Tamandua tetradactyla: one gene and its partner. The main gene of each other region encodes a partner of the protein of the gene in region 2 in a complex. Links are inferred from orthologs where the notes say so. Each region holds a gene or a part of one and is shown on either strand. Other genes may lie near its edges. The genes, in order: MCM5 and GINS4.

Evidence for each region.
Region 1: GINS4 (region 2) and MCM5 share a complex: the UniProt entries of both Homo sapiens proteins name them as parts of the CMG helicase complex. The link is inferred for Tamandua tetradactyla from reciprocal best matches to the Homo sapiens genes GINS4 and MCM5.

What each region holds. Positions count from the first base shown.
Region 1 is NC_135333.1:27,757,161-27,772,998, reverse strand, and holds the start of MCM5 (DNA replication licensing factor MCM5), read right to left. Parts: upstream 6,189-15,838; 5' UTR 6,037-6,188; intron 5,793-6,036; 5' UTR 5,785-5,792; coding exon 5,618-5,784; intron 5,311-5,617; exon of another isoform or gene 4,574-5,310; intron 3,949-4,573; coding exon 3,822-3,948; intron 3,729-3,821; coding exon 3,600-3,728; intron 1,799-3,599; coding exon 1,626-1,798; intron 80-1,625; coding exon 1-79. Other genes in the region: HMOX1 (heme oxygenase 1), read right to left, coding at 10,939-11,069, 12,764-12,863, 14,190-14,681. UniProt on the Homo sapiens protein: Acts as a component of the MCM2-7 complex (MCM complex) which is the replicative helicase essential for 'once per cell cycle' DNA replication initiation and elongation in eukaryotic cells.
Region 2 is NC_135329.1:17,016,224-17,032,333, reverse strand, and holds the start of GINS4 (DNA replication complex GINS protein SLD5), read right to left. Parts: upstream 8,550-16,110; 5' UTR 8,320-8,549; intron 7,666-8,319; 5' UTR 7,647-7,665; coding exon 7,554-7,646; intron 504-7,553; coding exon 417-503; intron 1-416. UniProt on the Homo sapiens protein: Required for correct functioning of the GINS complex, a complex that plays an essential role in the initiation of DNA replication, and progression of DNA replication forks.

The DNA of each region.
Region 1 (15,838 bases), on a different chromosome or scaffold from region 2:
CTGGAAGTCCACACACTTGCATTTGTCAGGCATGATGAAGTAGGGGTCCAGTGGGCACTTGGGGCGACCAGCCTGATCTCTGCATGAAGAGGAGAGGGGCAGGAGCTGGTCACCAGAGGTACCCCAAGAGCTGGGGCTCATCCATCCCATGAGTCACAAGGCGAGACCAGCAGCAATGTGAGTTATCACCAGAAGGTGTTAGGAACAGGCCAAAAGTGAGGCCAAGAACCAATTAGGAATCTAAGAACTGACTGAGGCCCGCCTCTCCAGTTAGTTTGCCAGGCAATGGAAGGCAAGTCACTACCCAGTTCCCTCACAGACCTTTGTGCTCCAGGAGCTAGATTGTCAACAACCTTAGCAACCCCCGACTCAAATCCCAAGAACTCTTCCAATGAGATTCTAGGCAGCTCTACTTCTCTGTACCATTCTGCTCAAAACTCAACATTATAGCAAAATCAACTAGCAAACATCAAAGCAAAGCACCTGCCACATGCCAGGCACTGTGCTAGATGCAGGGGCACAGCCATGAACAAAAACTCCCTGCCTAAAGATATTGGAGAAATGTGCTTTGAAAAGGAAGGGGCCCAAACCAAAGAATACCGGGAACCACTAGAAAGTGAACTGCCTGGAAACGGATTCTCCCTTTGGAGCCTCCAGAAGGAAGCAGCCCTGCAGTACACTGACTTTAATCCGGTGAAATGGATTTTGGACTTCTGATCTCCAGAACCAAAAAATAAAAAATTCAGGTTGTTTTAAGGCACTAAAAATAAATTTTTAAAAATAATTAAAAAGTAAAAAAAATGTCTCTGCTTGTATGGAGCTTAAAGTCTAATCAGTGGAGACAAACAAACAAACCAGCAAACAGCTACATAACGTAACAAGTAGCGCAAGGTGTGTGAAAAGAAGTAGGCACATGAGAGGAAGAGCGGCCAGGTATGCGTGTGCCAAATGTAAAACAAAAAGCGCAAGGGGAGACACCTCCAATGAGGTGACAGTTGAGAAGAAACCTGAAGGAAGTCAGAACAGAGTGTGTGGAAGGCTGAAAGAGTGTTCTGGGCAGAGGAAATGGCAAGTTCTAAAAAGGTCCCAAGATGGGGTAACCTTAGTGTTTCTGGACAGCAAGACGCAGCTTCCTGGGGCGGGTAGAGGGGGATGAGAAGGGAGGAAGTGCCAGAGGGAACTGGGAGCAGGCCGCAGCAGGACTTCACTCTGAGTGAGCTGGGAACCGAATGAATTGCTTACATTTCAAAAGAGTCACGCAGGCTGCTGGGTGGAGAGGTGACTGGGGGACAAGGGTGGGCGTGAGGGGCTCAGGAGAGGCTCCTACATAGATCCAGGTGACAAGAGATGGGGAAATAGTATAGAACATGCCAAAGGTAGGGAAGAAATGGTCTGAATGCATACTTCAAGGCAGAGACCAAAGGATTTCCTGATGGTTCAGATATAAAATGGAGAAATATTATGACACCAAAAATTGGGGCCTGTACCCCTGGAAAGATGGCACTTCCATTTATTGAGAAAGGCTAATCCTATCTGCCCAGCCCTCCCCAGGGGTCTTTAATAAGCAGCTACACACCAAGCCCTGAGACCCTCCTGGCCTTGCAGGCTATAGGTGACCCACTTACGTGTTACACTTCCGGGGCAGGGCGTAGCCCTCCAGGCCGGGGCGCATGGCGATGTTGGTGATGGTGTTGCGGCAGCTGCGGCACTGGATGGAGATACGGGTGGCCTTGGCACGGACCGCAGAGGCTGCGATGATGATACCAGGGATCTTCACCAGGTGTGACATCAGGTCGGACTGCAACAGGACCACAGAGGGGTGTTGGTTAAAGGGAGCTGGGGGAGACCTGAAATGTGTTGGGAAATGTCCAGGGTGAGGAACGGGGGAGATAGGCATGGAGCTGGGGGAGGAGGGGTGGGGAGGACAGCTATTCTGTTCAGCAGAAAAACAGTTTTCAAGGCATCCATCCACAGCCAAGCTGCAATGGACGTGCAGGAGCGTCAGGCGTGGCAAAAAACAAAACAAAACTTTTTTTCATTGTATAATAACATAAATACAAAGCAAAGAAAGAAAAAAGCAGTAATTTTCAAAGTACATGTCAACAAGCAGTTATAGAACAGATCCTAGAATTTGTCATGGGCTACCATTTCATCCTCTCAGATTTTCCCTTCTAGCTGTTACCAAACACTGGAAGCTGGAAGGAATATTAATATAGTGATTCAGCAGCCACACTTGTTTGTTAAATCCCATTTTCTCTGTTATATCTCTTCCTTCTCCTTTAATCCCTTTCCCAATCTATAGGGATCTTTGGGGAATGCCCTTCTGATTTTTTCATGCTGAGAAGGGATGTCAACACTAAAGGATAGGGGGATGTGATTAACTGATAATCTTGGAGAGGCTGGACCCTCTGGGTTTCAGGATCTATCTGACCTATGAACCCTCTGGGAATTATATGTTCCAGGAAGGCAAACCTAGCGCATGAAACCTTTATAGATTCTCAATTTGAGCCCTAGGTGCTCTTAAGAGTCAACAGGAGTGGATACTGATAGCTGTTTAACAAACCATGGCAATTAACACTATCCTGCTGAAGCTTACTAAAAGCAGCCTCCAGAACAGACTATTGACTTCATTTGATTTTTCTTGGTCCCTGACGCCTTATTACACTTACCCCCCTGGCCACACCCCCCTTTTCAGTCAGGAAGGCGCTGTCGATCGCATCCCACAGTGCCAGAGCCAGACTCATTCCCAGGAGTCATGCCCCACATTGTCGGGGAGTCTTTCACCCCTGAATGGCTTGTACAGTGTAGTGGAAGAGAGCAACAATCCTCCTTGCAGAGTTTGGCCCCTGCTTTTAAGGATCTCACAGCACAATGCAGGGAGGTAGCACATTTCGCTACAAAGGGGCAGATGTCATGAGGACCAAATTCAAGCTCCAATGGTAGCGTTCCATGACCCACACAGTACTAGAGAGTACTAGCCTTGGAGGCAGGGGACCCACGTTCCAGTTCAAGCTCTGCCAAAATCTGCTTAGAGACTCGGGACAAGTCACTTCTATCTAAATTTGCCCATCTTATGACCATTCTTACTCCAAATAAGGCAGTAATGTTAATTTTTAAGTGTGAAAATGACTCTTTTTTTTTCTAGATAGGCACACCAAAAGTTTCAGATGAAATTACACAATTCATGGAAGTTGCTTCAAAACAGTCCCAAGACTGGCTATCAGTTGCTAATTACTGAACTGGGTGATAAGTATGTAGGGATTCTTTAGGCTAGTCTCTAAACATATTAATGTTTGAAAAGTTAAACAAACTCCCAGCCAACCTACTATTTTCCCACTGAATATTAATTCTTTGAGGTCAAGAGTTCGTCAGTTTAGTTCATCATGTTTCTCTAGGACCTGAGTCAAAGTTTTACCCCCTGAAGAAGCTCAGAAAACTTCTGTCCAATGAGTTGCTTTTTACAAAGAAGCAAACAGGCTCAGAAAGGTTGTGACTTGCTCAGGGTCACAAAGCTGCACCCAATACAGCCTGTATGTGAAGCCCCTCTCCGCCATGCAGCAGCTGCCATCAGCCTTGGACCGGCCTCAAGGCAGACCCACCTTGAGGCTGCGAATACTGGATGGGCTGGCATCTGACTTCAGCATGACCTGGATGTCCTGGAGCACCTCCTCTCCAGTGGGCCGGGGCCGGGTCACTTCATCGGCTACCTCCTTGGCAGCTTCCTCTAGCTGGAGAGAAGACAGGGGACAGGTGGTTAGTGGCTGGAGGCAGGGCAAGTTTCAGTGGTGGGGGGAAGCGCTCAGGGATGGAGACCTACTCACCAGTTGTAAGTGCTCAGCTGGCTGCTTATACAGGTAGTCGGCCAGGTCCTCATCAAAGCTTGCCAGATCCTCCATCTCCACCTCAATCCAGTATTCCCCAAGGTTGTAATGCCGTTTGAGTTCATCCCTGGAGTGGGTAGGTGGGCAAGGTCGGTGGAGTGGGGTGGGGATAGAAACAGAGAGAAGACCAAGACTGGCTGAGGTACACCTGTGCACCAGAATCTCCCCACATTGTAGCCATTGACACACTACTCCTCTTTCCAAACTCACATCTCATTCCAGGTCATTCTATTATTTAATCCTACAAAGGCTCCCAATGCCAACAGGAGTGTTTCTCCAAAGAAATTCCAAGTAATCAGTTCACGAGCAACTGGAAGGTATTAACAGACGTGCAAAGAAAGGGTTCTGTGCACACACAGGTCAGTTTGGGAAACACTCGCTGCAAACCAGTTCTTTCACTGAAGGACTCCTCAGAGCCTTTAACTCACTCCCGGAGACTAACAACACACACTCCTCAAACTGGGAAGATCTGACCCAGCAGGGACCTAGTCTGTTTTGTCAACTGCCAAAGTCCTTATACAACACCCCACTGGAGGTATTCTAAGAACACATTTTGGAGACCACTGATCTAGTAACAGCCTGTTCCCAGTCTCATCTCAGGTCCCTTTCCTCTTTCACTATGTCTAGGGGCCACTGTGAGTCCCCTACCAAAACAGGCCACCCCATTCCTCTGCCCAGGAAACTGCTCCTACTTGGAATGCTTTCCACACCTGAAACTCTTCCTTCTGCCAAAAGTCAACTCAACGTTCAGGTCCTCTAGAAGCCTCCCTTAACTCTTCTGCCTTCTACATTTCTCCTTTGATGTAATTATTACCTCACTGGTCTCTAGGCCTCGCCTTACTGATTTATGAGCTTCACAAGGGCAATTACCATTTTTGGATCTCAGGGTCTAGCACACAGCAGGTAATCAAAGTCACCTTTGTAAGTCACCTTACAAAGTCACCTGAATAAATGGAAGAAAGAATGAGCATATCTACTTTACAGAAAACTGAAGCCTAGCAAGATTATCACTCAGAAAAGTTACTCAGCTAATAACTAGTCAGGTCCAGTCTTGAGCCTGACTTTAACAAATATATGTTCTCTGTATTTTAAGGTCTCAAGGAAAGGAGCAGAGCCTACAACGGTTTGACATGCCCCAGGTTTGTAAAAAGAACCAAGGAGCAGGGACTTTGCCCATCTTGCTCTGAGCTGTATAGCCTGGCATCTGGGACAGTATCTGACATGCAGCAGATGCTCAGTCAATATAAGCTGCAAGACTGAATAAATGAATGAAGTGACTCATTTCTACTGCCCTCACCTTTCACACCTATAGAGAACTTGAGTTTACCACAGGATATCACAGATATCATCTAGAAAGACAGTAAAAGCATATGAACAGTGAACAACACCAGGATAAAGAACCAAGGGCCATCTCTGTCCACCTGGCTCCAGCTGGCTTGTTGTTGGTTCACTCAACATGTGACTTACTCAAAAGTTAACCCCATGCAAAACTGTACGCCATGGGGATGGGGGGGGGAGGGAACAGTGAGTGGGAAAAGCACCTGCTGGACCCCAAATCCCCAAGAACCAGGACAGGCCCCTTCACATGCTTCCTTCACGTTTCCCCACCTGGGCTCTACGACACTAAAAGAGTCTGAATGAAAAGATGTGGCCAAACATGGCCCGTTATCCCAGCTCCAGGAACAGAGTGATTTGCAGGTGCGCCTTTCCTCCAGCCACCCCTCCAGCCCCCACACCTGTATTTGAAGGTGAATCCGGTACGGTCGGTGCCCACTCGGTACTGCCGCAGGAACTCCTTGAAGCGCCTCTGCAGCTGCGACTTGCGGGCCTGCCCCTCATCGGCCCCAGGGTCCCCCCCGAAACTGTCGCTGTAGAAAATGCCAGGGTCGTCGAAGCCCGACATGACTGCACCTGGCGCGGGAACAGAGAGTCAGAGCAGGGTGGGGGACCGCGCGCCTGTGTCCTCGCCTTCGAATGAGGGGCAGGGGGCTCCCGGCTTCAAGTCGGGGTATCGGGTGTGACCCTGGCTCTCCCACGCCAGCCCGGGGTCCCACCCCAGTGTTCCCAGGAAAAACCCTTGCCACACTCCACTGCACCCCCAAATGAAATGTCAACACACCCGCCGTGGGCTGGCTCCCACGACCCTCGATCTCACCTCTCCCACCCGGAGCTCCACAGACCCAGAGAAACCAAAAGCCCCACACTCGGCCGCCGAGTTTCGCGGGAAAACCGAGATAGCGCGTCCGGAGACCGAGACTGCTGCGCCCCGATTGGTTGGCCGAGTCCCCACGGCCGGCGATTGGGCCGTTTTGTACCCGCGTGATCGAATCCGGAATCTCCCCAGCCGGGCCTTCCGAGCCGGCTGCCGAAGCGGATTGGCTGCGGGGCTGCATGACGTCAGACGTCGTCTCCTTCCGGGCTCCATTTTGTGTACAGGACAATTTGGCGCGAAACTTCTGAGTGGGAAGAAACCAGCGGCTGCCCAGGCCCGAGGCGGGGCGGGCACGAAGATGGCGGAAGGACCGGTACTCGCGTAGAGGGACGGAGAGGGACGGAGAGGGGTGGAGAGGGGCGGAGAGGGGTGGAGATCCGCAGATATCCGCGGATAGCGGGAGCGCTGACGGTTTTCTTTTGTAGTTTCCTTAAGCCAGTTTAAAAGTCTGGTGGGAAAATGATCCTTTTCAGAGCCGTGGGGTGCAAGAGCTAAGAGTTAAGAAATTATCGGCTCCATTTGCCCCGTTTTGTAACAGGACAAAAGGGCCCTGAGAGGTGAACACTTGCGGATGTGTGATCCAGTCCGCTGGTTCTGAGGAGCCCACTATTCCATAGCTAGTGGAGGGGAGAGGCAGGATTCGAATACAGGTCACCTGCATTCCTGCTCCGTGTTCTTTCCATGTTAACACATGGCCTCCAGGGTTTAAAGTTAGTTAGAAATAAGTCGCCTTTGGTCTTAAAGCCTCTGGGATCAAGATCGTCACAAACTTCTGATTTGAGGGATGTTTTGTTTGACTCAATTGGTGATTTTTTAAAAAAAATTGTTTTTATTTATTTGGCAATGTCAAAAAGTGGAGAAAATTCACAACCAGCTTTCTAACCTAACTTGAAAATTGGAATATTTGACAAAAAGGGGGCCTGCCTTCTAAAATAGCAACGTAAGCTGGAGCTAGGTGATTCCTTATCGGTTAGATGAGCATCAGCTCCCCGCCCCCCCCATTCACCAGGGTTGCCACTCAGCTTAAGTCTCCTGTTAAGGGCTCCTGCCTGGTCCCACGTGAATTGTGACCCTTCCTCTGTTTCAACTCCCTCATTGTACAGATGGGGAAATCAAGGCACAGAGGGGCAAATTGAAAGTGGCAAAGTGAATTGGTGTACAAATCCAAAATTAGAACCCCTTTCTCCCATCTTCTTGCTCCTGTATTTCCCAGTGCCCCATCCAAAGCGTTACAGACTGATGAGCCGTAGCAAACCTTCAAGGAAACTTTATGTCTTCTTCCTCTAGAAGAGGCTGACACACTGCCCTGCCCCATCCTGGGGTGACTCATGTCGATTGCTGACCAACAGAAGAAAAAATCAAATCCGAAGATGGGAGAGGAAGTGTGAATTAGACTGTCAACCCAGTCTTGCCATCTTATGTCTTCTTTGTGGGGTTGATTTGTCCTGCCCCTTTATCAGAAAGGGTGAATACGCATGCCTCTGTGCAGCCGTGCTAAAGAGTGTGCTTCAAGATACATTAGAAACTCAGAGGCACAGTCTCTGTGTCCCCAAGATTTGGAGAACTTATTTAGAGAGCTGCCCCCAGCCTGGATGCTGTTAGGTTTGGCCTCCTGCCTAATCTGGTGTCATTGGGAATCCACTTAACTGAATAATGCTCTTTGGGGCTAGCTGCCTGGAAATCCATATGAATTAGATATGCGCTTTTCACCCCCACCAGCCCCTCCCACAACCAGTTTATTGTGTTACGTTTTAAAAAGAGCTTTTTTAATGACTGAAGCTAAAAAATGTTTAAGAGCTTTTTTAATGACTGCAGCTACACATGCTCTTGTGTCAGTCTGCCACTTCCTAATTAAGTGACCTTACACAAATTACTTTGACCTTTCAGTGCTCCTGTTTCCTCATCTGTAAAAGGGAAATAGTGACAGTGAATTAGGACGCCTGACGCAGAGTGGCTGCTTGCTGTTAGATATTCTTATTAAAAAGAAATGCGTAATCTCCCCCACGCCTTTGCATTCCCACTGCCTCATCATGAACACCTGGAAAGGGCCTTCCACTCCCTTGCCAAGTTCATACAAGCATGTATTTACATGTATGGGGACTGTTTTAATTAAAAATGTCAAATCTAGAACTTGTTTTCTCGTGAATACTTCATGGATATCCCTCTGCATCAATAGATGGATTTAACTCAGTCTTTTAAATAGCCATGTAATTTTTCATAGTATGGATAGACCACAAATGATTCAGCCCTACTCTTGTTAGAACTCAAAAAGTTTTTTTTTTCCTCTTTTCTTTCTTCATTCCCACTACAAACAATAAATACTTAGGCCCCTTTTACAGGCGAAGAAACCTGGCCAGGAGGCAACAGCTGTAGCTGCCATTTGACTACCTAACCCTTATATGCGTAATCTCATTAAGACCGGCTTCTGGGCGTGCTTACAAATTGGAATCTCCCAGGGAGTTCGTCATAAATAAATTCCAGAGTTCCATGCCACATCTCCAGAATCAGAACTCTCAAGGTTGGGGCCCTGGATTCCACAAGATTCTGATGCCTTGGGGTGATTCTGCTGCCACCATCCACAGACTGGGTCCTCCCCCCAGCTGTGGGAAGTGGGTACCCATTTTACCACTGAAGAAAATGAAACTCGGAGTGACTTGTCCAAGACCCCCCAGGCTTAATAACAAAGCCAGGACAAGGGACTAAAGTGTCCTGGCTCCCAGTCCTCATGTACTGGTTGTACGAGGATCTTGTCCCCTGCTCTGTCCAGACGCCTTTGGTCAAGGATTTTCCCTTTCACTAAGAGGCTGTATATTTAGCATTTCAGTGGCTTTTCCAGTACAGGGCAGTGAAAAGGTCTTGCTTGGGTTTTAGAGCTGGAAGACCTGGTTTAAAGTCACGTGTCCCTGAGGTAATGGTAACACCCACCTCACAGGTTTGCGGGGAGGATTAAATGAGATGACATTTGTTAGGTATCATTTAATATTGACAATGACTATTTATAGGTGAGGTTACTCACACAGTGAATGACAGTCTTGCCAACAATCACTTGTAAAGTGTTACAAAACATTGGTGTCCCTCCCTTCACAACAGGAACTAAAGTCCCATAGTGTTGGCACATCACGTGCATCTCATTTGCTTCTCTTGACAGGCCAATGAGATGGTATCACTGTATTCACATTACAGGTGATAAAATTGGGTCCCAGTGGTTGTTCTGGAGGCTACTGTTATGCAAGCTTCAATTTGATAGTACTAATTGCCATGGTTTGCTAAACGCCAACCAACATCACTCCTGTTGACTTTTAAGAACACCTAGGGCTCAAACTGAGACTCTATAAAGGTTTCATGCACTAGGTTTGCCTTCCTGGAACATATAATTCCCAGATGGCTCATAGGTCAGATAGATCTTGAAACTCAGAGGAACCAGCCTCTCCAGGATTATCAATCACATCCCCCTATCCTTTAGTGTTGACACACCTTCTCAACATGAGAAAGTCAGAACAGGCATTCCCCAAAGATCCCTATAGATTGGGAGAAGGATTAAAGGAGAAGAAGGAGGTATAACAGAGAAAATGGGATTTAACAAATGAGTATGGGGTGGTTCAGTGGTAGAATGCTCGCCTTCCATACAGGAGACTCAGGTTCAATTCTTGGATTATCACCACCACCCCACCACCCCCCAAAAAAGAGTATGGTTGTTGGATCATTATATTAATATTCCTCTTAACCCCTAGTGTTTTGGAGCAGCTAAAAGGAAAAATCTGAGATGATGGAATGGCAGCTCATAACAAACTCTCGGATCTGTTAACTACTAGTTGAAGTACGCTTTGAAAATTTTCTTTCTTTGCTTTGTATATATGTTATATTATACAATAAAAAAAAATTGAGCCCCAGAGAGGTTTAGTGATTAAGCTCAAAGGTGTAGATACAAAGAGGAGTAGCAGGATTCGAACCAGGAGACTCAACCCAGACCCTAAGAATATATAAATGTTACGCAGCATCTGATCATCTTACCCTAACAGGGCAGCCCCATCCTCGGTGAATGTAAGTCTTGCATTAAACAGTGTTCAACACAATCATTCACCCACCAAGTGTTTAAAGCTCACTCCCATATTTTCAGAAAACAGCACAATATTTGCTCCTGCCACCCCCCCACACACACAAGAGCACCCCCTCTCCCCACGAGGCAGTCAAGAAGAAGTGAGGAAAAGGTCAGTTCCCCAAGGGAAGCAGAGACCAAGAAAAACATCTTGAGTTACTATCAGCCAATGTAGTTTATTGTTTCATACACAAGTTAGAGACCAAGGCCACAGTGCTATTAAAATACCTCCCTTCCCAACCCTGCTATAAAAACATAATAGAACATAACAGAACACAATGAAATATCACAGTTCAGGCTGAGCTGGGAATAAAAGTGGCTCCGACAAAAACAAGAAACACAAGACACAACATCTTTGCACATTTATATAAAAATTGCCATGGCCCCAGGAGAAAGCAATCATGGCTGTATCAATAGAAGACCACGAACCCAGGGCATTTGGAGGTTCAGGACAGTTGCTACTTCAGGCTACATCTTCTGGGATCTGCTGCATGAACTGGGGATGCCGAGGTCTGGGCTGGGTCCTTTGTCCCACTTTGAAAGTTCAGGTCATTGAGCTGGAATTGCTTTTGGTTGGGGAAGATGCCACAGGGCTCCTTCCTCCTTTCCAGAGATAGAGAGATGCAGGAAGAGGGCAGGGGGCCCTAGGAAAGTCCCCATGCCCAAAGTAGAGAAGCCAGCCTCTTCTCTTGGGAGAGGGCCCTCCACTGGGCAAAGTTCATGGCTCGCAGGAGTCAGCAGGCCTACACTTACATGGCATAAAGCCCCACGGCAACCGTTGCCACTAGAAAGCTGAATGTAAGGACCCATGGGATGAGCGGAGCCCGGGAGAGAATGTTGGGCTGGGGCTTCCCTCTGGGAGTCTCCGTGGAAGTGGAATCTGAAAGAGAAAGCAGGGACAGTGTCAACCATAGGCAGGTGGGGATCAGGGTGCCTAACGTCCCAGAAAAGCAAAGCAGAGGGGCCTCATCTGTCTCTTGTACAATCCCTGCTTGATGCCAGAATGCTCCCAGAACAGGTGGATGGAGAGCTTACTACTTCTCCAAGCATCCATGATTCCATCTGCAGCCAGACTACACTGTGAGAAAGTTCGTGCACCCCAGTCATGTTTTCAGATCTCTGTTAGGAAGGCCCTCTCCTAAAGCTTCCATGATGATTAGGTCTGAGCTGTCACTCCTCGTCTCAGATTCTTACACATGTGGGAGGAATGGTGGTGATGGGCAGAAGCTACCCGAGGCAGGAGCCAGAAGGGGGGCACCTCTGAGGCCAAAATTCAAATTCAGTCCCAGTCCCAATCATTTACACATGACAGGCCGGAGCCAGCCTGGGTGGGCCGTCTGCACCAACTGATGCACAGAATGAGTGTTCTCTAGTCTTTAGGAGCAGGACAGGGTTCGAGAGCAGGCCCTCCGGCTAGGCCACTTGGGTTTGCATCCTAGTTCCACCCTGAGCACTGAGAGGAGAAGGTAAGGTAAAATTCCATGACAGGTGCTTCCTTGCAGAAAGGAAGGATTTGGGGCTCGGGTTTACAGGCATGACAGCCACAAGCAAGCAGACTCACTTCAGCATTGTTACATTCCTTTTGATGCATCTGGGCGGCAGTTCTCAAATTTTCTGGTCTCAAAACCCCTTCACACCCGTAAAAGTTACTGAGGATCCCAAAGAGTAGATTATAGCTATCTAATTTTTAAAGTTAACCACTTTAAAAATTAAAACCAGGAAGTTTTTGACACACATGAATACACTGGCACATGTGTCATTAGCTATCAGTGACTATCATCACACATCATATAAACTTTGGAAAAATCCACTGCACACTGATGAGAAAATGAGAGTAAAAAAGGCAAAAAACATTTTGGTGCCATTATAAAAATACCTTTGACCTCATGAGGCCCCTGAAAGGGTCTCTGGAACCTCCAGGGGTACCCAGACCACACTTTGAGAACCACTGCCTCACCTCCCCAGGACTGGCCACATTCCAACCCTCCTGGGGACAATCTTTTCAATAGCAGGGTCCCTGGGGTCCTGGTGCAGGTGGGAAAGCCACAGGCCAAGTAGTCAGGACAGATGCACCAGGGGGGATACCTCAAAGCAACTTGCCAAGGAGGCAGCTCTGAGGCTACCTGCGGCAAGGCCCGGAGCATAAGTATCTTGTCTAGTGTCCCATGGCAGGTTAACAGCTGCAGGCAGCGCCCCGACTCCCTGCCTCATATCAAGCAGGTGCTCAGGGAGCACTAAAGGGCCTAGAAAGGGGACTAAATGAAGGTGGGAGCTTCACCCAGGATTTCCAAGGGTCCCTGGTATACAAGTCCTCACTTCAGAGCCAGTGAACTCTCTGCAACTAGCATATCTTCCCGAAACCTTTGAGTTAGAGAAACAGGTGTGGAAAGGTGACACAGCTTATTCAGAGTCACACACTGGAATCAGACTGACTCTGTGCTCTTTCTCCTGCACCCCGCTTCTCATTTAAAAACATTCAAGACAGAAGAGCAAAGGAGATACCAGGGACAGACAGCTGGGCCGTGTCCCCTCCAACAGGGGCCCTGAGGAAACAACCATCCCTGGTGGCCTCACCTTGCACCCTGCTGCCTTCCCTTCTGTAAAGCCCTGTTGCCTTTGGGGGAATCTGTTCCTTGGCTTCCAGGGTCAACAGCTCCTGCAACTCTTCAAACAACTGAAAGACAAAAGACACACATGATCGTCTCAGCAACAGATGCTGCTAGGCCCCCACTGAAGGTAAGACTTTATGATGTTTTATGATGAGATATTTTGGACATAAAATCTTCAGAAAAATACTGAATATCCATGTACCTTTCACCAGGCTTAAGAGATCAGGTGGATTCCCTGCTTACTCATCTTCTCACCATGCTCCCCTCACCTCCAATACTCCACCCAGCCCTCCAGTAATAACTATGCTGCATTTAGAATTCCCCAGCCTCATTCATGCCTTTACCCCATGTCCCAATACAATGGATAAGTCGTTTCCTAGTATATGGATTCTTAAGCAGACTGCTCTCTTCACTCAACTTTCTATTTCTAAGAATCATCCTTGGCAAGATGTGTTTAATGGCATTTATTGGCCTGGGTTTGCAGATGAGAAAACTGCAGTTCCACAGGGTTAAGTGCCCTAACCAAGACTAGCCAGGATGTCTCATTTCAAAGTCAGCCTCAAAAGGGGCTCTGAGTTCAAATAATCAGTTCATTCTACTACTTCTCTCTGAAAGACGCAGGTTTTCACAGAGGATGGCCTGGATTAACTTTTAGGAGGATGCTAGAGAGGGACAGTCTCCCCTAGCAGGCACCTGGTCCAGTCTCTTCTGTGATCTAAAGCTGGGGAATGGAGAGCAAGGAGGGTAGGAGCTAGGACTTCAATCCCCATGGCGCCTCCTGCAGTGGGGAGAGCGCAGGATTCTGAAACATCTGGGATGGAAGACACCCAACCCCATGTGCTGCCCAAGAACTCATCCTCCAAGGCCTTGCTCAGTCCCCACCTTCTCCCTGGATTTGAGCACTTGTGGGAAGATGTCTCTGTCTTCCTGGCTGGGCTGCGAGTCTCTAGAAGGCAGAGACCACATCTGTAACACCTGTAACCCCTGCAGTGCCTACTTGGCTATGCACAAGTGCACAAACAACTTATGTGCGGTTGTATGGGTGTATCGTATCATTCTCATGACACATAAGAATGGCAGCCAATGCCTGAGGGCTGACTCTGTGCCAGGCACTGTTCTGGTAACTTTATCGATACAAACTCACTTAACCCTCACACTCTAAGGGGTAGCTATTATTATTATTCCTGTTTTACAGATGGGGAAACTGAGGCTCAGCGAGATTGAGGGGTTTGCCCGAGATCACCTAACTAGACAGTGGCAGCACCGGAACCCTGGCCCCAGAATCCCTGCACCTAACCATAACCCACAGCATCCTTGCCTACAGTAAGAGCAGCCTCCCCTGAATGAGTGGCTGGGGAGGAGGCGGCTGTCCTGGGCTGCCAGACCCTTACCCGAATGTTGAGCAGGAACGCGGTCTTGGCCTCTTTGATCACCCTCTGCCTGACCTCAGGGGTCATTTCCAGGGAATTCATCCGGGAGCGGTAGAGCTGCTTGAACTTGGTGGCGCTGTCGATGTGGGGGAAGGTGAAGAAAGCCAGGCCCTCGCCAGAGCTGGGCAAGTCCAGGGCCTTCTGAGCAATCTTCTTGAGGACCTGGCCCCCCGACAGGTCGCCCAGGTAGCGGGTGTAGGCATGGGCCACCAGCAGCTCGGGCTCCGTGCGCCCCACTTCGTGGAGCCGCCTCACGTAGCGCTGTGTGGCCTGCGTACACGGGATGGCCTCCTGCCAGCGGGGCCCATACCAGAAGGCCATGTCCTGCTCGAGGGCAGCCTTGCGGTGCAGCTCTTCAGGGAAGTAGAGGGGTGCGTAGACTGGGTTCTCCTTGTTGTGCTCAATCTCCTCCTCCAGGGCTGTGTAGATGTGGTACAGGGAGGCCATCACCAGCTGGAACCAGAGCAACAAGTCAGGCCTCCCAGCCATGGCAGGAGAAGGTGCCAACAAAGATGAGACACCCCCCCCCTCCCCAGCCACCCACTGCTGCTGCCTTCAGAGAGGCTCTTATCACCTCCCCCAGCCTGGGCTCCCCACCACCTGCCAGCCCCCCTCCAATCCTCCCCACGGTGCAGCCAAGCAGATTGTGCAAAAGAGAACATTTTGATTGGGTACTTTCTCAGACGAAAACCCTTTTATCCACTGTGTAAAACCTGAGACCTAAACTTAATCCTTATAAAAATCCAACAAAGTAAAAAAAAAATCCAACAAAGAAGCTGCTATCTCCTCTTTACAGAAAGGAAAGCAAGGCTCAGAGAGGTGATGAGTCTTCGAGGCCACACATATAGTAAGAAATAACTTGGAGTCAAGCCCAGATGTTGCATGGGAGCCATCATGGTTTGGGAGCAAGAAATGCGACCATCTGGGCTTTCACCTTTGACTTCTGAGGGACCTGCCATCTGCAAAGCATGATTCTCTTTCCAGGAGGTCCATCCTGACTCTGACCACCACTGGATGCCAGCCCAGGAGACATATCCCAGGCACTTGGCTGGGGAACCTCCCATTACACATTAATAGCTCTAGTTTGAGTTTGAAGGAAGACAAAGTTGAGATGTTACTGTTGAGGTTTCCATGTTATTTCTGAGCCACAAACATTCGTAGCAGCCCCATTCCTCAAGAAGGCAGAAAGCAAGGTAGCCTGGGGCAAGAAAACCTGGGTTTTTGAGTCTGAGAGGCCCATTTCCAACCTGGGCTCAGCCAGTCCTTGCCTGTGTGACAGCAGGCGAGCCACTTGCCCTCTCTGGGCTCAGCTTCCCTGCCCTGCAGTGAACGAGCTGATCCAAGGTCTGTGTGACACTGTGCATGTCAGGCCTCAGTCCCCTCCCATGTGAAGGGGCATAACCAGACTCCGAATTAAACGGGGCTGGTATGACAGTCAAGCAAGATGATACAGGGAAAGCACAGGGCACAGCCCAGCACTTAGGACCCAAACAGAGAGGCCATGCCAAGTGCCTCCTCCACCATCATAATCTAACGTGACTATAGTGAGTGCAAGGTTCCTCATAGGACTTTATGCCCATTTTCAACTTGACAGCTTAGAGGCAAGGCCC
Region 2 (16,110 bases):
ATGATTTAAGCTCAGAACATCTAAGCCAAGGATTGCAAACTCAAATGCCTACACGGTCAAGGCAGGTAAGGGACATGAGAAAGATGAAGTTAGGCTTGTCGGAAAGGGGAGAGCACCTTTAGAAAGGCGAATGGCCCTTATCCTGCTCTGGTCAAACTTTTCTCCTGAAGAAATGTGGGACTGGTAGTGAGTGGTCTTTAGAGTTTTCATGGGAAATTCAATGCTCAGATTTCTATAGGAACTCTCATGCTTTCTAAACGTAGGCAACCAATATCAATATCTCAAAAAAATAAAAAAAATCCACAAAAAGCAGGCCAAACAAAACTGATTTGCTATTAGACTGTCAGGTCTAACTAAACTGATGAACCCCTTTCCAGTTTCTCTTGTTCTGAAACCCTGAGACAAGCAACACTTACCATGTGATCTAACTGTTCCATGACACATTCTACAATTTCAGACTTGCTTTCCAGCAGCTCAGGAGCAAATTTTTCATTCATCCAGGCCTGAAAAACAGAGCAAGAAAAAATGAGCTTCATTCACTCTGGAGCAAAATAACCCTGTGGTTCAGTACACACCTGATGAAAATCACAGATATCTTAGGCAAAGAAAACTGTATGCTCTACCCATTGGAAATGCTGGAAATGCTTTGAAGATAAATTATGTTTAACGATGACTTCTCTGTTTACTTTAGTGGGGAGGCTGTGCTCACAACCTTATATTCATATGACATTAAAAAACACACTGTTTACATAAAAAAATGTTCTCATCAGTGTGGCACCACAGCCGAGAGTAATACCACCTAGTGTTCAAACAGCACCTTTCACCAAGTAGCATTAACACATCTCTACTTTCTTCACAGGATATTTCGCACCAAGAGGCACAGGCACCATTTCTATTTTGAGAGATGAAATAACATTTTATATAAATCTACATATCTCTTCACTCCTTAAGTTCAGAGCATTTTACAAATGCTTGTTCATTCATCATCATGACATTTCTGAAAGGAAATGGACATAGTTATCCTTATTTTATTGATGAAAAAAACAGATTAATAAACTACAGGCTGAAGAGTATGAAAACTCATAATGAAAATGGATATTCATCTGTTAAACAGTTTTGGAACAAGAGGTAAATCCCTAATTTCGGACTTAAGCCCAAGATGCAGGCTTAAGGAACTAAACTGCCTGCTCCAGCAGCTGGAAATACTGGAAATGATTTGAAGATAAACTATGTTTAATGACGACGGGTACGCTGGTGACTAAGGAAACTATACTGATTTTTCAGTTACAGAAAATTTAGTTTTAGCATCACTAAAACCATATATACAAAAAAGTCAATCAGCTCAATTTCTTTCTTTGGATTTCCCTGAGTTGCTGATTCTCCAGTTAATACCATCAAGACACATTATTAAATACTGGATATTGTTACTATACATAAAAAGCTCTCAAGTCTTTGAGCTTCTGTAATAGTGTTGCATATATATAAAATTAACCAGAAAGACAACCTGTATTTTTAAACAGCCTAATGAATAAGAAAAGATCAAACTGTCTTAAAGGACTTATGAAGTAATTTTTCTTTTTAACTGATTTTATTAAATTTTGAATAGGTACAAGAGTATTTATGAAATACATATTAAATATGCAGAATAGTGATACAAACACCTATTCACATACAACTTAAAGAATACTGCTGTTATTTCAAAAATTCCCATGTGACTCCCAAGTCAAAAGGCCAAGTCCTTCATATTGAGTCTTGCTCTTGGGAAATTTTTTAATATGGCAGAAAAGTTAAGCCTACCTATAGTTATGCCTAAGAGTTGCTTCCAGAGGACCTCTTTTGTTGCTCAGATGTAGCCTTTCTCTCTCTAAGCCCAACTCTGCAGATGAAATCATTACCCTCCACCTTACATGGGACATGACATCCAGGGGTGAAAGTCTCCCTGGCAACATGGGAGATGACTTCTAGGGATAAGCCTAGCCCTGGCACTGTGGGATCAACAATGCTTTCCTGACCAAAAGGGGGAAAATAATAGTAATAAATAAGGTACCAGTGGTTTAAAACGTTCATATAGAATTGAGAGACTACTCTGGAGGCTACACTAATGTAAACTTCATTAGCTATGCTAATGTAAACTTCAAAAATCAAGCAGCTAGATACCTCTATTCATGATAGTTTGCCAAACCACAACCAAAACCATTTCTGTCAACCCTAAAGAACACTTAGGGCTCTATCTGAAATTCTACAAAGGTTCCATGCACTCTGATTACTTTCTAGAAACCTACAACCTTCTCCTAGGTCAGACTTTCTAAAATCTAGAGGGGCCAGCCTCTACAAAACATCAGCTAGTTCTATCCCTCTAATCCATATTACTGATAGCACTTTCCAACACGAAAAAGTTAGAATGGGTATAGCCCAAATACCCCTAAAGACTGGGTGAAAGCTCACAGGAGAAGCTGGAGTTATAACAGAGAAGACAGGATTTAACAAATGAGTATGACTACTGAATCATTATGTTGGTATTTCTTTGTCTCCAGTGTCTTGGAACAGCTAGAAGAAAAAACCAAAAATTGTGGAACTGTAACCCATAAATTATGAAATCTGTCCTATAACTAATTGTTGCAGTGTGCTTTGAAATTTATTGGTTTTTTTTGTATATGTTATCTTTCACAGTTAAAAAAAATAAAAGTCCCTGTGCATTCCTGCCACCTCAAAGATAATCATTAGCCTGAATTTAGTGTTTAATTTTCTTTACAGTTTCACTACATTTGTTTGTGTCTCTACATAGTGCCTCCCAATTTTTTCATGTCAGGACACTGAAAGAAAATGACGGTGTTTGTATAGTACAGTTGCATAGCAGACCACATTTAGGGGAATGCTCATCCATACTGTCAAATTATGATAATTTTTAAAGGATGATCTGTTCTTCATTAAAACAAGAAACTCTGCACTATAGCTAATAACTTTTAAATCATGTTTTAAAAAGGCACTCAAGAGTATCCTATATATGTGCATAGAGCTGTGGCCTTATCCAGTGTCTCCATCAGATTTTACCTACGCTGTGCCACGCAGCCTAAGACCTCTATCTGGCTGCAGAAGCTGTCCAGGTGGCAGATCATCTCCTTGGCTGCACAGGGCATTCCCACAGAGCACCTGGCACTCACTGAAACTGAAGCTCACCCACTGCTAGTCTGAGTCATCAGAGGGGTCTCTGATGACTCCCTGGAAGAGGCAACTAACATGGGGCTCTGGATGTCCAGAGTACTGAGAGGTGAACATCGTGAGGCACTGGCAGGACACCAATGTGCCACATTACATGGGTGGGATGCTCAGCCTTAAACAAATTTTTGAACTTTATATAAATGGTTTCTTTGGCAACCTGTGTTTTTTTCTACATTATGTTCTTGAGAGTCACCATGATAGTGCAGGAGCTATCGTTTACTCCTTTTCTCTGCTGTTCTTCCCTCATTAAATATATATATACCATATATATATATATTTTAATCTATTATATTTTAGATGGATATCTGGGTTATTTTCAATTTTTAACTATTACAAGCAACATTATCAACATTCTGTGCATGTTTTCTGGAATTCATGTGGAAGTTTTCTCTAGAGTAGAATTTTTAGATTCCCACTACCTCCACTACTCCAATACCTGGGAGTGGAATTTCTAGGCTACGAGGTATGTGTATCTTCATTATTTTCCAAGATGACTGTATCAAGTCACACCCCCTTTGCAGATAATATAAGAGTTCAAATTATTCTACACCTCTGCCAATGCTTTATGTTGTTCATCTTTTTTCAGTTCTGCCAATCTGATGGGTATGAAATGCTACCTTACTGATTTTGACTTTAATTTCCCTGATTAGTAAAAAGGTTGAACATCTTTTTCATATTCTTACTGGCCATCCTGGTTTTTTCTTCTGGGAGGTGCCTGTTATGACTTCATTATTCTAGCAGTTTGTCTGTAAGGATTGCTTATGTATTGTGAATATTAGTATTTTGTCAGATATATCACAAATGTTTTCTAGTTTTGTTGTCTTTTTTACTCTCAGCAAGGTGTCTTTTAATAAACTGAAGTTCTTAATTTTAATGTAGTTAAATGAGATTTTTTCCTTCATGCTCCATACTTTTCTTATTTCTTACAGAAATAATGCATATGTACATCACTCTGAAAAAAGGGGCCAGAATTTTCATTGGATTCTCAAAGAGGTCTGTAGTATAATATTCTAGCTTGCTAGCTGCTGGAATGCAACATACCAGAAACGGAATGGCTTTTTAAAAGGAAATTAATAAGTTGCTAATTTACAGTTCTAAGGTCGAGGAAATGTCCCAATTAAAACAAGTCTATGGAAATGTCCAATCAAAGGGATCCATCCAGGGAAAGATACCTTGGTTCAAGAAGGCCGATGAAGTTCAGGGTTTCTCTTTCTAGTGAGAAGGCACAGGGCGAACACAGTCACAGTTTCTCTCTCAGCTGGAAGGGCACATGGCGAGCACAGCATCATCTGTTAGCTTCCTCTCCTGGCTTCCTGTTTCATGAAGCTCCCCAGGAGGAGGCGCTTTCCTCCTTCATCTCCAAAGGTCACTGGCTGTGGACTCTGCTTTGTAGTGTGACAGGATTCTCTGCTCTTTCAGAATCTCCTTCATTCTCCAAAATGTTTCCTCTTTTATAGGACTCCAGAAACTTATCAAGACCCACCCAAATGGGTGGAGACACGTCTTTACCTAATCCAGTTTAACAACCACTCTTGATTAAATCATACCTCCAGGGAGATGATCTGATTATAGTTTCAAACATACAGTATTGAATAGGGATTATTCTGCCTTTATGAAATGGGATTTTGATTAAAACATGGCTTTTCTAGGGGACATATATCCTTTCAAACCAGCACACATAATAACAGATTACAAATCACTGTAAAGATTATCATACAAGATATAATTTTTAAATTAATATTCTTGGGTTTTGTCACTCATAATGACATGTACGGTAGGCGTACCAATTTGAATCTGTTGTGTACTTCAGAAAAGCCATGTCCTTTAATCCTCATTCAATATTGCTGGGTGGAACTTTTGATTAGATGGTTTTCATGGAGATATGTCTTCAACCATTCAAGGTGGGGTTGCTTATTAGAGCCCTTTAAGAGGGAACCATTTTGGAAAGAGCCACCAGAGCCCACACTCAGAGACCTCTGGAGATGCATGAAGAAAACATCCCTGGGGAAGCTGTTGAAGAAGCCTGGAGAGAAAGCTAGTAGACATTGCCATGTGCTTCCCCAGCTGAGAGAAAAACCCAGAACATCATCAAGTTATCTGTGCCACTCTGAATCTGCTGTGTACCCCAGAAAAGCCAAGTTCTTTAATCCTCATTCAATATTGCCAGGTGGGAGCTTTTTGATCGTTTCCATGGCAATATCACCCACCCAACTGTGGGTGGTAACTTCTGATTAGATGGTTTCCATGGACTGTGTTCCCACCCATTCAAGGTGGGGTTGCTTATTGGAGCCATTTAAGAGGGAAACATTTTGGGAAAAGCATTAGAGCCCACATACCTAGAGACTTTTGGAGACGAAGAAAAATGCCCCTGGGGGAGCTTCATGAAACAAAAAACCTGGAGAGAAAGTTAGCAGATGTCACCATGTTTTTCCATGTGCCTTTCCAACTGAGAGAGAAACCCTGAACATCATCAGCATTCTTGAACCAAGGTGTCTTTCTCTGGATGCCTTAGATTGGACATTTACACAGACTTGCCTTAATTTGGACATTTCCACTGCCTTAGAACTGCTAACTTGCAACTTAATAAATTCCCCTTTTTAAAAACTGTTTTGTTTCTGGTATATCGCATTCTGGCAGCTTGTAAACTTGAACGGTATCTTTCTCGGGATGCCTTAATTTGAGCATTTTCACGGCCTCAGAACTGTAAACCTGCAACTTAATAAAAAAAATTCCCCCTTTTAAAAGCTGTCCCGTTTCTGGTATATTGCATTCTGGTAGCTTACAAACTAACACAGCAGCAAAGAATGAAGAATACTAAAGTAACAAACACGAAAGAGCTCTGGAAAAGGGCAGTTAAAGGGAGAAGAAAAGAGGGAATAAGGCAATAGGTATAATGGCTTAACACCATGTTTTGGAGTCAAAGAGACCTGAGCTCCTATCTTGGCTCGGCTGCCAGCTGTGTGACCTTAGGCAGGTTACTTTACATCTCTAAGCTTTAGTTTCCTCAACTTTAAAATGGGGTAACAGTAATACCTGCCTGACAGGGTTGTTTTGAGGGTTATTACTACTAATAGCTAACGTTTAATGAGTGCTTATTATAGCCAGACAACAAGCTAGGCACTTTACATATCTCATTTACTTTATCTTATTTAATCTTCCTAACTACGTGAAGTAGCTGCTATTATTACATCCATTTTACAGTCAAGGAAAGGCTTGAGACAAGCTATATAACTTGTTTAAGGTTAAATAATAGGTCAAAGACATAGAGGTATTTAAATCCAGACCCTGAACTCTAAAAATGCCTGCCTGATGAATTGTAAAGAACATAATGCAATTCCTAGAAAGAACACAGGATGTACCCAACAAACCACAATTATGACTAAAACGATAGTCTAGAAATTACTTTAGGACTTTGTGCTGGTTTGGAACTGTTGCGTACTCCATAAAAGCCATGCTCCTTTAATCTAATCTTGTGGGTGCAGACTTATTATGGGCAGGATCTTTTGGTTAGATTATTTCCATGGAGATGTGACCCCCATAAGGTGGGTTTTTAATTAGCTTACTAGAGTCCTTTAAGAGAACATTTTGGAGAAAGCTCAACTACAGATGCTGGGAGATGGTGAGAGAGCTGTTTGAAACCAGAAGCCCAAAGAGAAGGACATTGCCATGTGCCTTCCCATGTGACAGAGAAATCCCAGACTTGATTGACCTTTCTTGTGTGAAGGTATCCTCTTATTGGTGTCTTAATTTGGATATTTTCATAGCCTTAGAATTGTAACTTGTAACTTAATAAATCCCTTTTATAAAAGCCAATCCATTTCTGGTATATTGCACTCAGGCAGCTTTAGCAAATTGAAACAGACTTTTAGACAATTTAGTGTAAATAAAGAGAACAGTTGACTCAAGAAGATACTTCGAATGAAAATGAAGAGTAAGACCAGTTTCCTTCTTAAAAAAAGGTGTTTTGACACTTTCTTGCTAATCCAGTAAATGCTTCAAAGGATTAAGATAGGGGAGCCTACAAGTCTCTACCACAACATGTCTGCAGTCCTCCCAAAATATGAAATACATTCTTGTTCTCTGCACTGTTCTATTAAATGTGCCCAAAGCTGTCCCTTACTGACTCCACTGGATAACTCTGCATTTGACATTATGGGATTTCTAATAGAGGATATTCCTCTATTTCTGTGTAGAGGTAAGATCCAGCTTTTATTCTTCTGAAATAAAGTAAGTCTTGAATTCTATTTCTTTACTTTCTAAGTCTGTAATTAGTATAGTTAGACTAACTAAAAAGGCTAAGATTGAAGCAAGGGGATTTTATTTGGAATGCTTACCTGCTCCAGCCTTTCAATGAGTTCTGCAGGAGTTAGGACGACTTCCTCACTACCATCAGAATCCTGTCCCATGAGATCCAGTTCCTCTGTCATTTTCACTGAAACCAGGAACCTAACGAACATAAACGAACCAACACATTGTGTGCGCAATGTGTTTTCCATTTATTTACCATACAGTGCAACTGTATCTGGAGAAGGGAAAGGGTTACAAGGGATTGCAGAGATTCAACAGTAGTGGCTAGAGAATTCACAGACTTGGATTTTTCAATTCTTTGCCTCTTCCTTCAAAGCTTAGGTCAGAGAATAAGTTTCTCAAAGAGGTAGCCCCTCGTATCTGTTCCCGCTGTGTATACCTGGAACTGAGCACCTATCACACCATAAAATAATTATTGTTTTGTTTGGTCTTCCCGATAGATCTCCTTGTCATCAAGGGCTGTGCTTACCTCAGGTCAAATATGAACTGCGCTTGTGCTCACTGCCTGGCACTTATAAGTTGTGGGAGACAACAACGCGTGCAGGTACGGAGTTTAGTTCATGGCAAGTACTTAAAATCGTTGGGGAATAAATCAATGCTCGATTTTCGCCAGGCCCAGGGGCGCCGACCAGTCACTGACCCCAAAGGCTTGAGAAAGCTGTGTGGTGCGCGGCGGGGGGGGAGCCGCGGGGATTCTCAGGGAAACTGAGGGCCTACTCCTCCCGTCCCGCCCCTCTCGCTGCGGAGAACCCAGAGCAGCACTTCCCCCTACGCACGCAGCTCGCGCAGTACCTCAGGGCCCACTCGGACACGCAGTCGCGGACTGGGCGGCAGATAGGCACTCCAAAGTAGCGAGCGGTCAGAACGGGAAATCGCGGGGAGGCAGCCCAGGTTCTTCCACACAGAATCTGGGAACGGAACCACAGCTGAGCAACGCGCACGAGGCCTTTCCGGGACGTAGCAACTCTCCCGGGTTTTCGGCTCCCGCGCACGTCTCGAAAACACTCCGGGCAGGTACAACGTCACCGCGTACGGAAGGCGCTAAACCAATCAGAGTTCGGGAGAAGGGACAGGCAGCGTTCTTGACCCCGCCCAATATAAAGGGGCGGGTCTTGCGTATGCGCAGTTCACTCTCAGAATCTTCCCACTCCGAATAAGGGCGATGGGAGGCTGGTTCGGCGTTAGCTCCGCCCACCTGGGCTGCTGTTCCGTGTGCGGTTCCTGCGGTACAGTACGAGGGCTGTCGGGAGGGGGCGCCTTGCCACCGCTCTTCCGAGATGCGGCGCTGTCTGCCTTCGGGCCACCAGGGAGCAAGCGTCTGCATATACCTTGGACCAGCAGTGGGTCCGATGGAGAAGTGTGTTGTGCTAGTTTTAGGCCATAGCCTCTTGTTTCATCTTTTCCACTGACCTCTCTTGTAGGGCTTCAGCTACGACCATTAATCCCAGTTCTTCTTCTTTTTTTTTTTTTTTTTTTTGGCATGGGCAGGCGCCGGGAATCGAGCCCGCGTCTCCGGCATGGCAGGTGAGAATTCTGCCACTGAGCCACTGTCGCACTGCCCTCTCCTTTTTTTTTTATGAGAAAAATTTTGTGTGTGTGTGAAAAATAACATATGTACAAAAAAGCAATAAATCTCAAAACACACTGCCACAATTAGATATAAAACAGATTTCAGAGTTTGGTATGGTTTATAGTTCCACAATTTTAGGTTTTTCTTTCTAGCTACTCCGAGACACTGGAAACTAAAAGAAATATCAATATAATGACTCCACAGTCATACTCATTTGCTAAATCCTATCTTCTCTGTATAACTCCACCATCACCTTTGATCTTTCTCCCTGTTTTCAGGGGTATTTAGACTGTGCCCATGCTAACTTTTAAATGTTGGAAAGGGCTGTCAATAATATGGGGTAGGGGGATGGAACTAGTTGATGTTCTGGAGAGGCTGGCCCCTCTTAACCCCAGCTCCTCTAAAAACCTTTAGACTACTGGTTCCCAAAGTGTGTTCCCACACTTCAAGCAACAACGTATTCTGGGAATTTACTAGAAATACAAGTTCTCAAGCCCACCCAGACCTACTCAATCAGAAGCTCTGGGAATAGGACACAACACACTATTTTAACAAACTCTTCAGGTGATCATGATGCAGGTGAAGTTTGAGAACCACTGCTTTAGGCAATTTGCTTCCAGCCTTGCTACTACATCAGGTGTTTGCTTAATTCTCTAGGTTATTTTGACTTAGGCTGCTTATAATTTCTGCTCTTACTGCAGGGGGAACAACAAGGACATAAGGATATCGATATAGGTATTTTTTCTTTGTGAGATGTCAGCTTTTTGGTCTCTGAATTGCTGATGCTCTCCTTTGTTTTCTGTGTAAAGTATCACTCTGGATTCTCTATAAATATTTCTTCCCCATCAGTCTGAAGCTTCTTTTCTTTGTGATGATTCATGTGCCATACTGATTTATTAGGGAAAAAAGTTGACCAATTGACAGGTTGCTAGAACCCACCTGATTACAGTCCTTTTATAAACAATAATTACATAGAATATTCCAAGTGAAAGAGTGGGCATATTTACCAAGGGAAATTCCCAAAAGAAAGGGGTATTTGGGCCACATCTTGAAGAACGAGTTTTGTTAATGACAAATAGACTTTTCAAGGTTCGTTTAAACTCTACTTTGGTAATCCAGCACGTTTTAGTTGTGTCAGATTGCATTTTCCATAGAGAGCTGCCCTAAGATATATCTCATCCCATGTGGTCCTCTTACAATGTGATGTTGACACTCCTCCATTAGAAGGTGAAGTCCATCTTTTTTTCCTCTTATATCTGGGAAGACCTTTGTAATTGCCTTGACCAAGAGAATGTGGCAGGAGTGATACTGCTTGAGTACTAAGGCACTCTCATAAGGGTGATACAACTTCCACCCTGCTCTCCTTTTCTTGAACCATGTCCCTTGAGAGCCGTGAGCTGACATGTGAGAAGTCTGGCTACCCTGAAGCTCCCATGCTGGAAAGAGCATGTAGAGAGGCCACAGCGAGACAGAGAAGAGCTCAGCAGCCCCAGTGTTTCCATTCCCCGGTTGTCTCAGTGAATGAGCTTTCAGATGGTTCTCAGACCTAGAGCTACCAGGGCTAACATGGAGAGAAGCAGAGATGAGCTGTCCCTGCCGAACCCTGCCCAGACTACTGATTTGTGAGTAAAAACAAATATTTGCATTAAATGTTGGGGTGGTTTGTTTTGCAGCATTAGATTACTGTGCACAATTCCATTCTTCCATAATTATCATTACCACATAGTTATTCAGTGTTTTTTTATTAATATTCTTTAAGTGTTATAGATTTGAGGCCAAGTATTCTCATATTTACTCTGGCACAGATAACTTCTACACGGAAGTACCAATAGTTTACTGATTTAGGGACTTCCTTCTCTAGTGCTAACCTGACTTTTCTAATCTCCTCCTGCTCTTCTATTAGGGAGCTAGAGTCTGGCCTCTGCTTCTTTAATTCTGATTAGTTCCAAAGAATTCTGCTGGAGGATAGAGTACATATTTGTATTGGTTTGTGAAAGCTGCCAGAATGCAATATACCAGAAAAGAAATAAAGAGAATTTATTATGTTACAAGTTTACAATTCTAAGGCAATGAAAATATCCAAATTAAGGCATCAACAAGCGGTTACCTTCACTCGAGAAAGGCTAATGCTGTCCAGAACAGCTGTGAGCTGGGAAGTCACGTGCTGACATCTGCTGATGCCTTGCTCCTGGGCTCTTTTGCTTTCCGACTGTTCCTGTGGGTTTCCTCACTTGGCTTCTCTGGGGCTAGGTTTCATCTTTTGGCTTCCCGTGACTCTTTCTAGGTTCTGGCTTGCTTGGCACCTCTTGAAGGCACATGATGACATCTGCTGGGCTCTGCCCATGTCTCAGCATCTGCTCTCGCTGTCGGCACTCCAAGGATCTCCAAACATCCGTGTTTCTGTCAGCTCTGAAGCACCTCTTCTCCAAGCATCTGTATCTGAGCTTTCTCCAAAATGTTTCCCCTTTTAAAGGGCTCTCGTAAACTAATCAAGACCCAGCTTGAATGGGTGGAGTCACATCTCCATCTAGTCAAAAAGCTACACCCACAATTGGGTGTGTCACATGTCTATGGAAGTAATCAAAGCAACAGATCATACCGTAAACGGTAGGTCTGGCCCCACAAGATTGGATCAGTATTGGAACTTGGATACAAAATAGTTTCACATTGGCACAATATTCTTGCGAGAAGTAGGGAGGATACTGAGGTGCTGGTATGGTTTTAGTCCTCTTGCTGAGAAGTTAGTGCTGTTAATTTTCTTTTAGTTTGGGACTTCCATCCTTGCACTCTCTCTCTCTTTTTTTCCCTTGCATTCTCTTTGCTTCAGTCATGTTGAACTACTTAAAGATATGAGGTATTTTGCCTCCTTTCTTTATACCTGTTGTTTCCTCCTTCTGAATTTTTTTCTTTCCATTTATCTACCCAGTGCACTCTTATTCATCCTTTAAGACCCATTTAAAGTATCTCTTCCTCCGAAAACCATCCCTAACACATCTTCCCCCACCTTTGGTCACCATTATACCTTATAAGATTCTGATAAAACATTTATTATGCTCTATTGCAATTTTAACATGTCTTTCTCACATTAGACTGTGAATTCCCTGAAGGTAACCCCCAAACTTGCGGAGTGCTCATCATTCTTTCATTCATTCATTCATTCATTTCTTCATTCAACAAATGCTTTTGAGGATCTGCTTTGCCAGACATTGTGTTGGAGCTAAGGATAAAGCAGTGAATGGGAAACACACACCCTGGGATGGAAGACAGACAATAAACAAATAACAATTGTTTGTCAAATGGAGGTAAAACGCGATGTAGAAAAACAAATCCAGTAAATGATAGAGAATGTTGAGGATGGGGACATTTTAGAATATGGTTCTAAAGATGTTTGGGGCAGCTTTCCCTGAGGAGGTGACATTGATCATAGTTTGCTAAAAGAATGAATAAGTCCCAAGACAGCTAACGTGACACCCTGTGAGGAAGCAATACAAAAAACTATACTGTCATTTGCTCCTTGCAGAATATACAATGATCATGAATTTTCTCTCTCTTTTATTTTATCATCGATATACTGTTGCCAACATAGTTAGCAGATTGAGTAAAATAATCTTTTCTAAGTTTCTGGATTGGGGTCAAAGAGAAATGTGACATTTCCATCAAGAAATTCATTTGCCTTTACGTCATGGCCGTAAAAGGCTCATTTGTCTAAGTGCCGGCATGTCTTCATGCTTATTAGAGTCCATACACTTTATTTTGGAGAATTGTCCTTAGTTCCAAAGATAAACCTGACCAAACTCAGTATTTCTAAATGCTTACAGCTTAGGGTAATGCTCTTTTCTAAAATGTAGTCATAGGAAAAGTTTTGAATTTTTTCAAGCACGAAAGTGTAGCCTTGCTCAAGAATGTACCCTGTAACAAAATTTATTTTTCCACCTTTATTAATTTTAGTGTCTTTAAAAGTATTACATGGACACTATTTTGAGAATTTCATATAACTAATGGAATGGGTCATCCTATTTTAGACTAAAGTTTATTGAAATAGTATTTCCCTGTGGGGGCAACCCTTAGAATACAATTCATATCTGTGCCAGTTTGAAAGGATGTATATACCCTAGAAAAGCCATTTTTTAATCCTAATCCCATTTTGTAAAGGCAGCCATTTCTTCTAATCCCTATTCAATACTGTATGTTGGAGACTTTAATTAGATTATCTCCATGGAGACGTGATTCACTCAATACTGGGTGTTAAACTGGATTAGGTGGGTCCAGGTGGGTCTTGATTACTTTACTGGAATCCTATAAAAGAGGAAATGTTTTGGAGAAAGCAGGAGATTCAGAGAGAGCAGAGAAGAATGAGAGCGCCACGAGAAAGCTGCAACAGAGGACGCTGCAGAACCACGAAGCAGAGAGTCTACCAGCCAGTGACTTTTGGAGATGAAAAAGGAAAACACCTCCTGGGGGAGCTGTAGAGGAAGCTAGCGGATGACACCGTGTTCACCATGTGCCGTTCCAGCCAAGAGAAAAACCCTGACCGTGTTCACCATGTGCCTTTCCAGCTGCGAGAGAAACCCTGAATGTCATCGGCCTTCTTGAACCAAGGTATCTTTTCCTGGCTGCCTTAGAGTGGACATTTCTATAGACTTGCTTTAACTGGGACATTTCCACGGCCTAAAAACTGTTAACTTGCAACTTATTAAATTCCGCCTTTTTAAAAGCAGTTCCATTTCTGGGATATTGCATTCTGACAGCTAGCAAACTAAAACAACATTCATTTGATTTATTTAAAAATTTCCCCACGTTCCTAATTTTCTAATTAGAATTATAGAGATGTAATTATATTGCAATTATTGCCATTATTATTTTCATTTTTACATAGAACATCTAAAATTATAACTCTCCTGAAGTGTCAACACTTAAAGTATAAGGAATAAAAGACCTGGCTTGAAATAGGAATTTGTGAAATTTTAAATTTGTGATATCTTAAAAACATACTGATTTCATGTCTAGGTTTCTTCATTTAAACAATTCTTACAGGTTTCTCACTGGTAAATGGAAGCATCTTAATTAACTGAGTTCAAAATTCACCCCCTATTTATGAGAAGGTAAGACTATGGGGTGATTAATTATGTTTCTTGACGTATACCATTAACTGAATATTTTACTATGAAATTAGCTCAAAACAAATAATGTAAGAATCCTACCTTACAGGTACCCCAAAGTAAGAGAAAATATTAGCTTTTTTCAGTTTATGTTATGTTCAGCTCAGCTATGAAAATAATATGAGCTGAAATTTTGTCATGAAATTGTGTTAATTATACCCCAGAGTTGGTATTTTTTGAAACCAGAAGCCTTGGGTCATTTGATCTATTCTAGCTGATCTTGCTGTGAGCAGCTGCCATTCTTTGAGTTGCTAACTTATTTGAACCAGTAAGATTTGGATGTGACCCATAAAGCTCTGTGAGGGCTGAAATTCTGTCGGACATTCCCTGTTTGTGGAAAAATGAAATTACAAAGTTCTCCTGTCACCTTCTCTTTGCATTATCTTAGACATGTTTACTTTAAGTGAGAAATTCAGTTTGACCCTGAACTTTACCCTGGCCTGTATACTGTGTCTAGGTTGGAAGTTTTATTTATTTATTTTAGAGCCCCACTCACATACTTGTATGCAGAATAAAGCGCTATTTCTCATGTTTTTTGGGTGTAATTAAAACTAGCAGAGCCCGGAGACTAGTGCCTCTGGACAATTAACAAAACCAAAGGGACAAATAGGGATGAAGGCTTAAAGGAAACTGACACTGGGGCCCTGAGTGATATCCCAGGGTGGTGGGTATTTTATCTATACTGTCAAAGCACCTCGTGACACTGAAGATATTAACTGGTGTGCAGAATTTTTATGATTTGATAATTTATATTGACAAATACAAGTTTTTGTTTTCACAATAATTTTTTTTTAGGAATTTGAAAATGATGGGAATTAATAAGTCATCTAACATTAAGAATTCAGTCTAAAATCATACACAACACTTTCTCGGATCATAAAGGAATGAAGTTGGAAATCAATAATAGGCGGAGTGCCAGAAAATTCACAAATACGTGGAGGCTCAACAACACACTCTTAAACAACGAGTGGGTCAAAGAAGAAATTGCTAGAGAAATTAGCAAATACCTCGAGGCGAATGAAAATGAAAACACAACATATCAAAACTTATGGGATGCAGCAAAGGCAGTGCTAAGAGGGAAATTTATTGCCCTAAATGCCTTTATCAGAAAAGAAGAAAAGGCAGATATGCAGGAATTAACTGTTCACTTGGAAGAACTGGAGAAAGAACAGCAAACTAATCCCAAAGCAAGCAAAAGGAAAGAAATAACAAAGATTAGAGCAGAAATAAATGAACTTGAAAACATGAAAACAATAGAGAAAATCAATACGGCCGTAAGTTGGTTCTATGAGAAAATCAATAAGATTGATGGGCCCTTAGCAAGATTGACAAAAAGAAGAAGAGAGAGGATGCAAATAAATAAGATCAGAAATGGAAGAGGAGACATAACTACTGACCTTACAGAAATAAAGGAGGTAATAACAGGATACTATGAACAACTTTACGCTAATAAATACAACAATTTAGAGGAAATGGAGGGGTTCCTGGAAAGACATGAACAACCAACTTTGACTCAGGAAGACATAGATGACTTCAACAAACCAATCACAAGTAAAGAAATTGAATAAGTCATTCAAAGGCTTCCTGAAAAGAAAAGTCCAGGACCAGATGGCTTCACATGTGAATTCTATCAAACATTCCAGAAAGAATTAGTACCAATTCTCCTCAAACTCTTCAAAAAAATCAAAGCGGAGGGAAAACTACCTAATTCATTCTATGAAGCCAACATCACCCTCATACCAAAACCAGGCAAAGATATTACAAAAAAAGAAAACTACAGGCCAATCTCTCTAATGAATATAGATGCAAAAATCCTCAATAAAATTCTAGCAAATCGTATCCAACAACACATTA